Linked DNA regions of Callithrix jacchus. The protein of the gene in region 3 purifies or fractionates together with the protein of the main gene of each other region. This does not show direct contact. Links are inferred from orthologs where the notes say so. Each region holds a gene or a part of one and is shown on either strand. Other genes may lie near its edges.

Evidence for each region.
Region 1: the proteins of FBXW7 (region 3) and MED12 purify together in Homo sapiens (affinity purification with mass spectrometry; 3 studies listed by BioGRID and IntAct, with this or other methods). This does not show direct contact. The link is inferred for Callithrix jacchus from reciprocal best matches to the Homo sapiens genes FBXW7 and MED12.
Region 2: the proteins of FBXW7 (region 3) and KDM6A purify together in Homo sapiens (affinity purification with mass spectrometry; 3 studies listed by BioGRID and IntAct, with this or other methods). This does not show direct contact. The link is inferred for Callithrix jacchus from reciprocal best matches to the Homo sapiens genes FBXW7 and KDM6A.

What each region holds. Positions count from the first base shown.
Region 1 is NC_133524.1:68,409,594-68,413,247, reverse strand, and holds part of MED12 (mediator of RNA polymerase II transcription subunit 12), read right to left. Parts: intron 3,388-3,654; coding exon 3,286-3,387; intron 3,186-3,285; coding exon 3,072-3,185; intron 2,821-3,071; coding exon 2,645-2,820; intron 2,466-2,644; coding exon 2,286-2,465; intron 957-2,285; coding exon 885-956; intron 440-884; coding exon 306-439; intron 143-305; coding exon 1-142. UniProt on the Homo sapiens protein: Component of the Mediator complex, a coactivator involved in the regulated transcription of nearly all RNA polymerase II-dependent genes.
Region 2 is NC_133524.1:45,987,205-45,990,858, reverse strand, and holds part of KDM6A (lysine-specific demethylase 6A), read right to left. Parts: coding exon 3,315-3,654; intron 1-3,314. UniProt on the Homo sapiens protein: Histone demethylase that specifically demethylates 'Lys-27' of histone H3, thereby playing a central role in histone code. Demethylates trimethylated and dimethylated but not monomethylated H3 'Lys-27'.
Region 3 is NC_133504.1:44,392,981-44,395,845, reverse strand, and holds the end of FBXW7 (F-box/WD repeat-containing protein 7), read right to left. Parts: intron 2,534-2,865; coding exon 2,265-2,533; 3' UTR 644-2,264; downstream 1-643. UniProt on the Homo sapiens protein: Substrate recognition component of a SCF (SKP1-CUL1-F-box protein) E3 ubiquitin-protein ligase complex which mediates the ubiquitination and subsequent proteasomal degradation of target proteins.

The sequences.
Region 1 (3,654 bases), on a different chromosome or scaffold from region 3:
ACGTTCTTTGCGTGAAGAGGAACCCAGGTGCTGACCCTTCTCCAATTCCTCTCCAGCAGCCTTTAACACATGTCCCTGGACTGAGGTGGGCAGTTTAGCAATGAGAGGGGCTACCAGCCATACACCAGAGCGCTCTAGAGAGCTGGAGAACAGACACAGGGTCACAGGGGAACCAGGCAAGGCTGGAACAATCCACCCTCTCCTTTCCCTGATAGACATGCTGGCATCTCCATGCAGCTAACATCACACATGCTACCAGCAGAGAAACTCCTAAGGGGATGGGTCCCAACATGTTTCTATCTGACCTGAGCACAGGCTTGGTCTTGCTGCTGCTGGGCATGTTGCTTGCAGTGTTTCCGGAAGATGACCCTGTCTCTGCTGACTGTTGGAAAACCTCGATTGTGGCCTTGGCGATGTTCTCCAAGAGGGAGTTCATCTCCTGGGGAGGATGAAAGGCACAGAAGTGCTAAAATAGGTAGCTAGGGGTGAAGGAAAGCAGATGGTAGGAGAGATGGGAGATGAGGGAGGATAGGACTGGTGGAGATTGATGGGGAGGTAGGAACCCAAATCTGTTGGGAATCATGCCTTCTAGTACCTCCGTATTTCTCTAATTCCTCACTGTCTTCTCTTTTACATATATCCTTACATCTGTGGCCACAGAAACAGGCTCTACCACCACCACCAAGCTTCTCCACAGCTCAGAGCTCCAACACTCTCAACCCATTTCCCTTATCAACAGCTCCACTTGTTCACCATTTTCCCATCCCCTCTTATCTCTCAGTTCAAGAGCCCAAGGGTAAGATCTAGGTTCTGTGGTGGACTGCCTTCCTAACACAAGGAGTTGAATGTGAGCACAGGAAAGGGAGGGTCCAGGTACTACTTACATTGTTGGGGGTCTGCTTGATCATGAGCTGCAGCTCCAAGGAAGACTGGCGCATGGTCCACTGGTCCAAGTTCTGTGATAGAGGTCCCACATCCAGACTAGTCATCATCTGTTACCCCCAGCTACCCACCAACCTGAGGCCAATTCCTGATCTCCTGCAACATTGAATCAGACTCCTGGAGGTCTGAAAGAGACCTCTATGTGCCCATCTTTAAGAACAACCACATTTAGGGAGGCTGAGGTGGGTGGATCGCCCGAGGTCAGGAGTTTAAGACCAGCCTGGCCAACATGGTGAAACCCCATCTCTACTAAAAATACAAAAATTAGCCAGGCATGGTGGCGGGTGTCTGTAATCCCCGTTACTCAGGAGGCTGAGGTAGAAGAATCACTTGCGCCTGGGAGGTGGAGGTTGCAGTGAGCTGAGATTGTGCCACTGCACTCCAGTCTAGGTGATAAGAACAAGACTTGTCTCAAAAAAAAAAAAAAAAAAAGAAAAGAAAAGAAAAAATACATTAGTCCAAACTAGCTGAAAATCTTCTCAATTTTTAAAATGGTTCAGGAAAGATTTCACATCTTTCCCATCCCTTTATATCAGGAAGTTCTGCTTAATGCTTAACCTTGAAACCCTTGATGTTAAAGTTGAAGCCTGCTCCTCTTGTTTTAGACTAGCTGCTGAAAGTCCCTGACAGGACCTTTATAAGACAATCTCTCAAAGTCCTGTAGAGATTAGAAGGCTACTGTTAGCTAATCTCTCTTCAGCCCTATCTATTCTGGGCTGAAGAGACCTTATTCCTTAAGCTTTTCCTCAACGGCTTTATTTTTCCATTCTCCAGTCATCTGAAGATGTGGAGCAATGTGAAGTGAAAAGTGCACAGACATGTCTGGGCTGACTCTAAACCTATCAGCTATGTGACCTTGGACAAGTTACTTAACCTCTTCAAGCCTCAGTTTCCTCATCAGTCAAACAGGGAGGCTCACCTACTTCATAGGGTCATAAAGATTAAATGAGGAAATGTGTGCAGGTGCCTAGCACAGTACCTGGCACAAAACATGTGCTCAGCAATTAGTAGCTATTACTATTCAGTTCCTGAGCCATGGCCAAAATGCCAAATATACAAGACCCACACCTAGGCCCCCCAGATGCTATGCTTCCCACTGATAAGCTAGATTCACTCCAGATAGCTGTGCCCTCACATAACACTCTTACTCTGGAGTCTAGACCATATTGGACTTACTCCTCAGCCCATGCTGGAGCTGTTTCTCTCACTACCCCTCCTCTCCCCTACATCCTTGTTTGTCTTCCTCTCTACTTAACTCTCCCTCTCCTTTTCTCAAGGTTCCTATTGTTTCTCGCCAGATTGGGCCCATTGCTTCCTCCATGGCCCCCTTGGCCTTGGTCTACCTGGAGAATGCGCTTTATGCGCTGTCGCTGGGGGTTTTCCCCATCCTCATTGTCCAGGAGTCGATGTGGGTAGCAGATGAGCTGCATGAGGCGTTGTGCCTGGGCACTACTCAACACTGGGTCTTGCAGGTCATTGCTGTCCTCACACAGTGACTTAAGGCAACGTTCTCCTACCCATTCCTGAGAAAGCTGACAATCAGGGACTGGGAGCAACCAGTGAGGGAGTTAGCAATATGGGGGATGGGCTGGAATTGGTAAGGGACACAATGTATAGTAGGGAGGTGGTATGATCACGGGCTGGAAACAGGACTATATTACACAGAGGCATTTTGGAGGTGTGGGAGGAAGGTGAGACTGACCTGTTGGCAGATGCTGCGTAGCACGTACTTGGCATAGACATCCAGACTGGCTGTCTCCACAGAGATGTTGCGGCCACCCTGCCTCCGACCGCCACTGCCACCTCCTCCCTCCTCCTCTGGAAGTTCTTCTGTTCCTCCTGTCACAGTGAAGCCTGAACCCTTCAGTTCTGCATCCCCTGTGGTTCACGGGTGGGAGATAGGGAGGGCAGAATGAGATTGGAACACTGTGTGGAGACCCACCCTGGGCCCACAGAGGCAGAAACACCCCAAATCCTGCCCTATGGGACAGAAATATACTTCTGTCCCTCCCCTCCTCCCAAAAGGTCAGAGAGACCACCTTCAGGAGGGAGAAAGACTGTCCCTTGTAGTTTAGCTGGCACTCCACCCTATACACACTTCTGGCACCACTCCCTTTCTACCCCCATACCAAGTACAAACACAGCCTTGAGAACAGCAAACACAGCTCCATCCACGATGCGGTTCTGGGAGGCAGCCAGCAGGTGGCGGTCACAGGAGGAGCGGATTCCTACTGTAGGCTTGTCTGGGGAAGGCGATGAAGTCAGGGGAAGCAGGAGCAGAATCCACAGGGGCAAGGGAGCCACACTTTCTACTGTTGGTTGGTTCAGATCAGGGTCACTTACTTCCATCAGACTGGCAAGGATTGAGCTGCGGTGTCTTGAAGAGGTGAAGGAGGATGCGGCAGGTAAGCCGGGCACCTGGTTCAGAGTCCTGTTCACTACAAGCTAAAAGGAAGACAATACAGATCTGCGATGGATGAAGCTGAACTCTACGTGGGTTTATGTGTGTACATGCCTGCATGCATGGAAGTGTATGGCAGGAGCATAGGAGAGAAGATGAGGTAAAGTGAAAGGAGAAAAAGCAAGATAACTGTGAAAATGAGGTACAGTGGAGAACTGTCACGCAGTTGAAGGGTCAGAAATTGGAAAGGTCAGGGCTGCAAATCCAGGGTTTAAAAAAACAGGTTCCTTCTAGCCTTCAGCATACCAAAG
Region 2 (3,654 bases), on a different chromosome or scaffold from region 3:
AAACTAATAAATTCCTAGACACTTGCACCCTCCCAAGCCTAAACCAGGAAGAAGTTGAAACCTTGAACAGACCAGTAACAAGGGCTGAAGTTGAGGCAGCAATTAATAGCCTACCAACCAAAAAAAGTCCAGGTCTAGATGGGTTCACAGCTGAATTCTACCAGACGTACAAAGACGAGCTGGTACCATTCCTTCTGAAACTATTCCAAACAGTACAAAAAGAGGGAATACTTCCCAAATCATTTTATGAAGCCAAAATCATCCTGATACCAAAACCCGGCGGAGACTCAGCAAGAAAAGAAAACTTCAGGCCAATATCTATGATGAACATAGATGCAAAAATCTTCAATAAAATACTGGCAAACCAAATACAACAGCACATAAAAAAACTTATCCATCACGATCAAGTAGGCTTCATCCCAGGGATGCAAGACTGGTTCAACATACACAAGCCTATAAACATAATTCACCACATAAACAGAACCAAAGACAAAAACCACATGATTATCTAAACAGATGCAGAGAAGGCCCTTGACAAAATTCAACAGCCCTTTATGCTAAAAACTCTCAATAAACTAGGTATTGATGGACTGTATCTCAAAATAATAAAAGCTATTTACAACAACCCTACAGCCAATATCATACTGAATGGGGAAAAACTGGAAGCATTCTCTTTGAAATCCGGCAGTAGACAAGGATACCCTCTGTCACCATTCCTATTCAATATAGTATTGGAAGTTCTAGGCAGAGCAATTAGGCAAGCAAAAAAATAAAGGGTATTCAATTAGGAAAAGAGGAAGTCAAATTGTCTCTATCTGCAGAAGACATGATTGTGTATTCAGAAGACCCCATCATCTCAGCCCAAAATCTCCTTAAACTGATAAGCAACTTCAGCAAAGTCTCAGGATACAAAATCAATGTGCAAAAATCACAAGCATTTCTATATACAATAACAGACTAACAGAGAGCCAAATCATGAGTGAAATCCCATTCACAATTGCTACAAAGAGAATAAAATACCTAGAAATACAACTAACAAGGGATGCAAAGGACCTCTTCGAGAACTACAAACCACTGCTCAACAAAATGAGAGAGGACACAAACAGATGGAAAAACATTCCATGCTCATGATTAGGAAGAATCAATATCGTGAAAATGGCCATACTGCTCAAAGTATTTTCTAGATTCAATGCTATCCCCATAAAGCTACCAATGACCTTCATCAAAGAACTGGATAAAACCACCTTAAACTTCATATGGAACCAAAAGAGAGCCCACATAGCCAAGACAATTCTAAGCAAAAAGAACAAAGGTGGAGGCATCATGCTACCTGATTTCAAACTATACTACAAAGCTACAGTAATCAAAACAGCATGGTACTGGTACCAAAACAGATATATAAACCAATGGAACAGAATAGAGACCTTGGAGGCAACACCACACATCTACAACCATCCGATCTTTGACAAACCTGACAAAAACAAGCAATGGGGAAAGGATTCCCTGTTTAATAAATGGTGTTAGGAAAACTGACTAGCAGTGCAGAAAGCTGAAACTGGACCCCTTCCTGACACCTTACACTAAAATTAACTTCAGATGGATTAAAGATTTAAACATAATACCTAACACCATAAAAACCCTAGAAGAAAACCTAGACAGGCCGGGCGCGGTGGCTCAAGACTGTAATCCCAGCACTTTGGGAGGCCAAGGTGGGTGGATCACGAGAGATCGAGACCATGCTGGTCAACATGGTGAAACCCCATCTCTACTAAAAATACAAAAAATTAGCTGGGCATGGTGGCACGTGCCTGTAATCCCAGCTACTCAGGAGGCTGAGGCAGGAGAATTGCCTGAACCCAGGAGGCGGAGGTTGCGGTGAGCCGGATCACGCCATTGCACTCCAGCCTGGGTAACAAGAGCGAAACTCCGTCTCAAAAAAAAAAAAAAAAAAAAAAAACCTAGACAAAACCATTCAGGACATAGGCAAGGACTTCATGACTAAAATACCAGAAGCATTGGCAATGAAAGCCAAAATAGACAAATAGGACCTAATTAACCTCCAGAGCTTCTGTACAGCAAAAGGAACAATCATTAGAGTGAACTGGCAACCAACAGAATAGGAAAAAATTTTTGCAATCCACCTATCTGACAAAGGGCTAATATACAGAATCTACAAAGAAATAAAACAGATTTACAAGAAAAAAACAAACCCATCCAAAAGTGGGAGGAGGATATGAACAGATATTTTTCAAAAGAAGACATTTGAGGCCAACAAACATATGAAAAAATGCTCATCATCACTGAGTATTAGAGAAACGCAAATTAAAACCACATTGAGATACCACTTCACGCCAGTTAGAATAGCAATCATTAAAAAAATCTGGAGACAACAGATGCTGGAGAGGATGTGGAGAAATAGGAACACTTTTACACTGTTGGTGGGAATGTAAACTAGTTCAACCATTGTGGAAGACAGTGTGGCGCTTCCTCAGGGACCTAGAAATACAAATTCCATTTGATCCAGCAATCCCATTACTGGGTATATATCCAAAGGATTACAAATCATTCTATTATAAAGACACATGCACACATATGTTCATAGTAGCACTGTTTACAATAGCAAAGACCTGGAACCAACCCAAATGCCCACTGATGATAGACTAGACAAGGAAAATGTGGCACATATACACCATGGAATACTATGCAGCCATAAAAAACGATGAGTTTGTGTCCTCTGTAGGGACATGGATGAATCTGGAAACCTAATTCTCAGCAAACTGACACAAAAACAAAAAAAAATCAAACACCACATGTTCTCACTCATAGGCAGGTGATGAACAATGAGAACACATGGACACAGGGAGGGGAGCATCACACACTGGGGGGTCTGTTGGGGGTAGGGCCAAGGGAGGGACAGCGAGATGTGGGGGAGGTCAGGGAGGGATAACATGGGGAGAAATGCCATATGTAGGTGACGGGGGCATGAAGGCAGCAAACCACATTGCCATGTGTGTACCTATGCAACAATCCTGCATGATCTGCACATGTACCCCAGAACCTAAAGTACAATTTAAAAAAAAAAGGGGGTTAAAAAAAAAAAAAAGCAATTTACAGGATTACTTCTCAAATCTGATACATCAATTTGACCTCAACATCTAAGCATATCAAGGCTTCTGTCAAACTCTTACTTTAGATGAATGACTACAGCATGTTTTGCTTACTTTCCATAGCTTAAAAGATCCAAATTATGTTTCAGCATTCTTATCATGCCAGTAAGTCAAGCATTTTCACTTGACGAACTTTTGCACACTAACCTGCATGCCTTCAGAACTTCTGCTGAGCTGGGATATATGGACACAGACACTGATGGTATGATCTGAGGACTAGGTTTGTGGTTAACTAGAAGTAGATCTGTTTTCATGGGGCTCTGAGATTCTTCCATCCCTTCTCCATTAATTGTGTGTAGCCCACTGTGAGGGCTGTTAAGGCTGGTAACACTGTTTGTGGTTGTCTGCTCAGTGGATTTTGGAGAAGGTGTTGCTGTGGAAATGGCTGAAGATGGTGAAGAGGCAACAGAGTTATCAGTCTTTGTATGAACAGCTGGGTGGATGTTATTGACTTTGTCACAGGTTCCAGTACCCACATTGTTATTGG
Region 3 (2,865 bases):
TGTTGAACAAAATGGCTACAGAAGAGTCAGAAAATACCAGAAAAAATGGCTTATTTCCCTCTCAAACCTTGCTTTAGTCTGTCAAACTTTCTTAAAGGACAACATGTATTTACTTAGTCTTTGGAAATACGGGTTTGAGTCCTGGTGTTCTGCTAGTTATATGATTTGACAAATTGCCTAACCAGTCTCAGCTGCAGATTTTTGCTCGTCCATAAAATGGGTGATAATAGTGCCTACTTCTCAGGGATAGTGGGAGCTTGAGAGAGAATGAAGAGAAAGTATTTAGGGTAAACACTTAAAATGTGGTCAAAAATCTCAAAATGCATTTGTTACTTATAAGCCTTCTAGTTGTAATTATCACAAAAGTTTTGTGATTCTTAGAGGGAACCAGACTTCATATTTATACACCCCAATGTAATCTACAGAGATGAGCACAGTGGAGTGTCCTCCTTTGTAGTCTAGGAGAGAAATAAAATTTGCAGTTGCAGCACATTATCCTTACTTTCCTATATAAAATAGGCTTGAAGTATTGATTTCTATGTCACACAGAGGCAAAGAAACCAAGACTTTGCTGATTTAAATATTACAGACAAATCCTACTTATAATGAAGTATTATTACTTCAATAGAAGAAACAGACATACTAACATGAAAAAACACATTTTATTGCACTTAAGTTATAAGAAAATAAAATTTCTAAGTGAATCAAACCATAGACACAATCCCTTTAAAGGTTGTTTTCCTCCATCATGTCAGGTTGTTACATAACTAAAATTAACCAACTTGAATCTGATTGTTTTAAATCAGACTATAAATAAAACAAACAAAAAATAAACAGAAGGAGGAAAAAAAAGATCACCTAGGATACAGTGTTAAACCACTTTCACAGTTCAGCTTGAGTTGTGGCTCTTGGAGAATGAGGCAAACCATCTGACTTTTTCATTCGTTTTGTTTGTTTGCATGTGACGCCTTTACTATAAAAACTGAATAGTTTCTGCTTTGTCAGTTACTCAGAGCAATAAAACTGTAACAGTTGTTTTCCCAAATACTGTAAAACACTAAGACTGACCAGCAACTTTATTTTAATTTTGTGTTTTATATATTTTTAAAATATTTTGTCAGTTTTACGATGTACGTTCATCCATTCACCACAGCCCTCAAAAAGAAAAGTTTCTCCACAGAACAGGCAAGTAATAGCTCTGTTCCAAGGAATGTGTTTTAATTTTTGCCCAGATAAAAGAAAATAAGCTTTGCACACACTCTCAATTCTTTACTTGCAGGCAAACTTCACTCTTTATTATCTGAAACTCTTCCATTCTCAGCCTCTTAGAGGCACAGATGGCTCAAGTTTCAGTGGCAAAAAGTCTTTTTTCCGTAACCAAACTAGAGCAAATTTGGAATTCAGTCTGGGACTAAAACGTCACAGCAGAAAAAAAATAAAAAAAAATAATTTGCTTTTTTCTTTCTTTCATTTAGCAGCATAAATAAGTTTGGCCACTGGGAGTACAGTACAGGGGTGGGACAACAATCCCATATTTGAAGACCTACTTCTAGCACCAGCATCAAGAATTAAATCCATCTCAGGACTCACAGAACCCAGGACAACTTGCCACCTTTGAGCAACATATGCATTGAAGAATGTATATGGAAGCAACAGTAAATAGATTAACAGAGGCTAATACTGTGATTGATTGACATTGGCAATGGTTGGCAAAAAAAAAAAAAAAAAAAAAGCTTTTCATGATAACTGTACAGAAACAATTCACAGTAATTTTTTTTAAGCTTTTCCACTCCAGAAAAATGACTTTTTGTTGCAGATGCTCTCTAATTAGAAAGTCAACCAGTACGTGTTTTGATGTTATTGCAGTTCCTTTCTAGGTGTCAGTGGTAAAAGAACAGGCTAGCAGAATCTGTAATGATGTTTCAGTATTAACACTGCCCAATGACCACTGGAGAAGAAAATAAAGAAATAATTGCACCTGGTTTGATTTAGAAAGTCTCATTTTGCAAAGCTGCCCTCAGTCAAAAGTGAAGCCTTTTATGTGATGAGACAGCAGACGCCTCTCTTGTCAGTTATGGTTTGTCATCTCGTCTTCTCTTCCTTCTTAGTCTGTAGGTCTTTTCAATCTGTTGCCCCAAGCCAACATCCTGCACCACTGAGAACAAGGGATTTTTTTCTTTTTCTTTTCTTTTTTTCTTTTTTGCAGGGGGAAGGGCAGGGAGTATATTGTCTACACAATTGGACAAATTCATCTTTTCTGCTCTTCACTTCATGTCCACATCAAAGTCCAGCACCAGCAGCTTGGTTTCTTCAGTCCCATTCCGACTCCCAACTGCACACACCAGCTTTGTGTTTGAGGCTCTGATCCGCCACACAACTCCCCCACTCCCCCCACTCTCCAATGTGACTAGGTTTCGAATAAATTCACCCGTTTTCAAGTCCCATAGTTTTACAGTTCCATCATCTGAGCTGGTAATTACAAAGTTCTTGTTGAACTGTAAACAGGTCACAGCACTCTGATGCTTGTTGGGACCTAGACAAAAACCAAAAGAATTTAATTACTGGTTAGAAATAATGGCTATGGGTTAGTTACATTATAATTTGTAGACTTCTACTTTAGAGCATACAATAAATGCAACATTTGAAGTGATACTTATTTAGAAGCCTATGTCCTCAGTATTTTAGGATCAGCGTGGATGTAAGAAAATCTGGTAGTGATTTGTAACTGAAACATTAACTTTCAAGAGCTCTGTTGTCCAAGAAGCTTGGTTAGCTACCAGACAAACATCTAATTTTTGGCTGTGTGAAAGAGAGCATTCCTTGGTGAGGATGTAGCCAGTACAACTGTATGCTTTCTGCTGATGG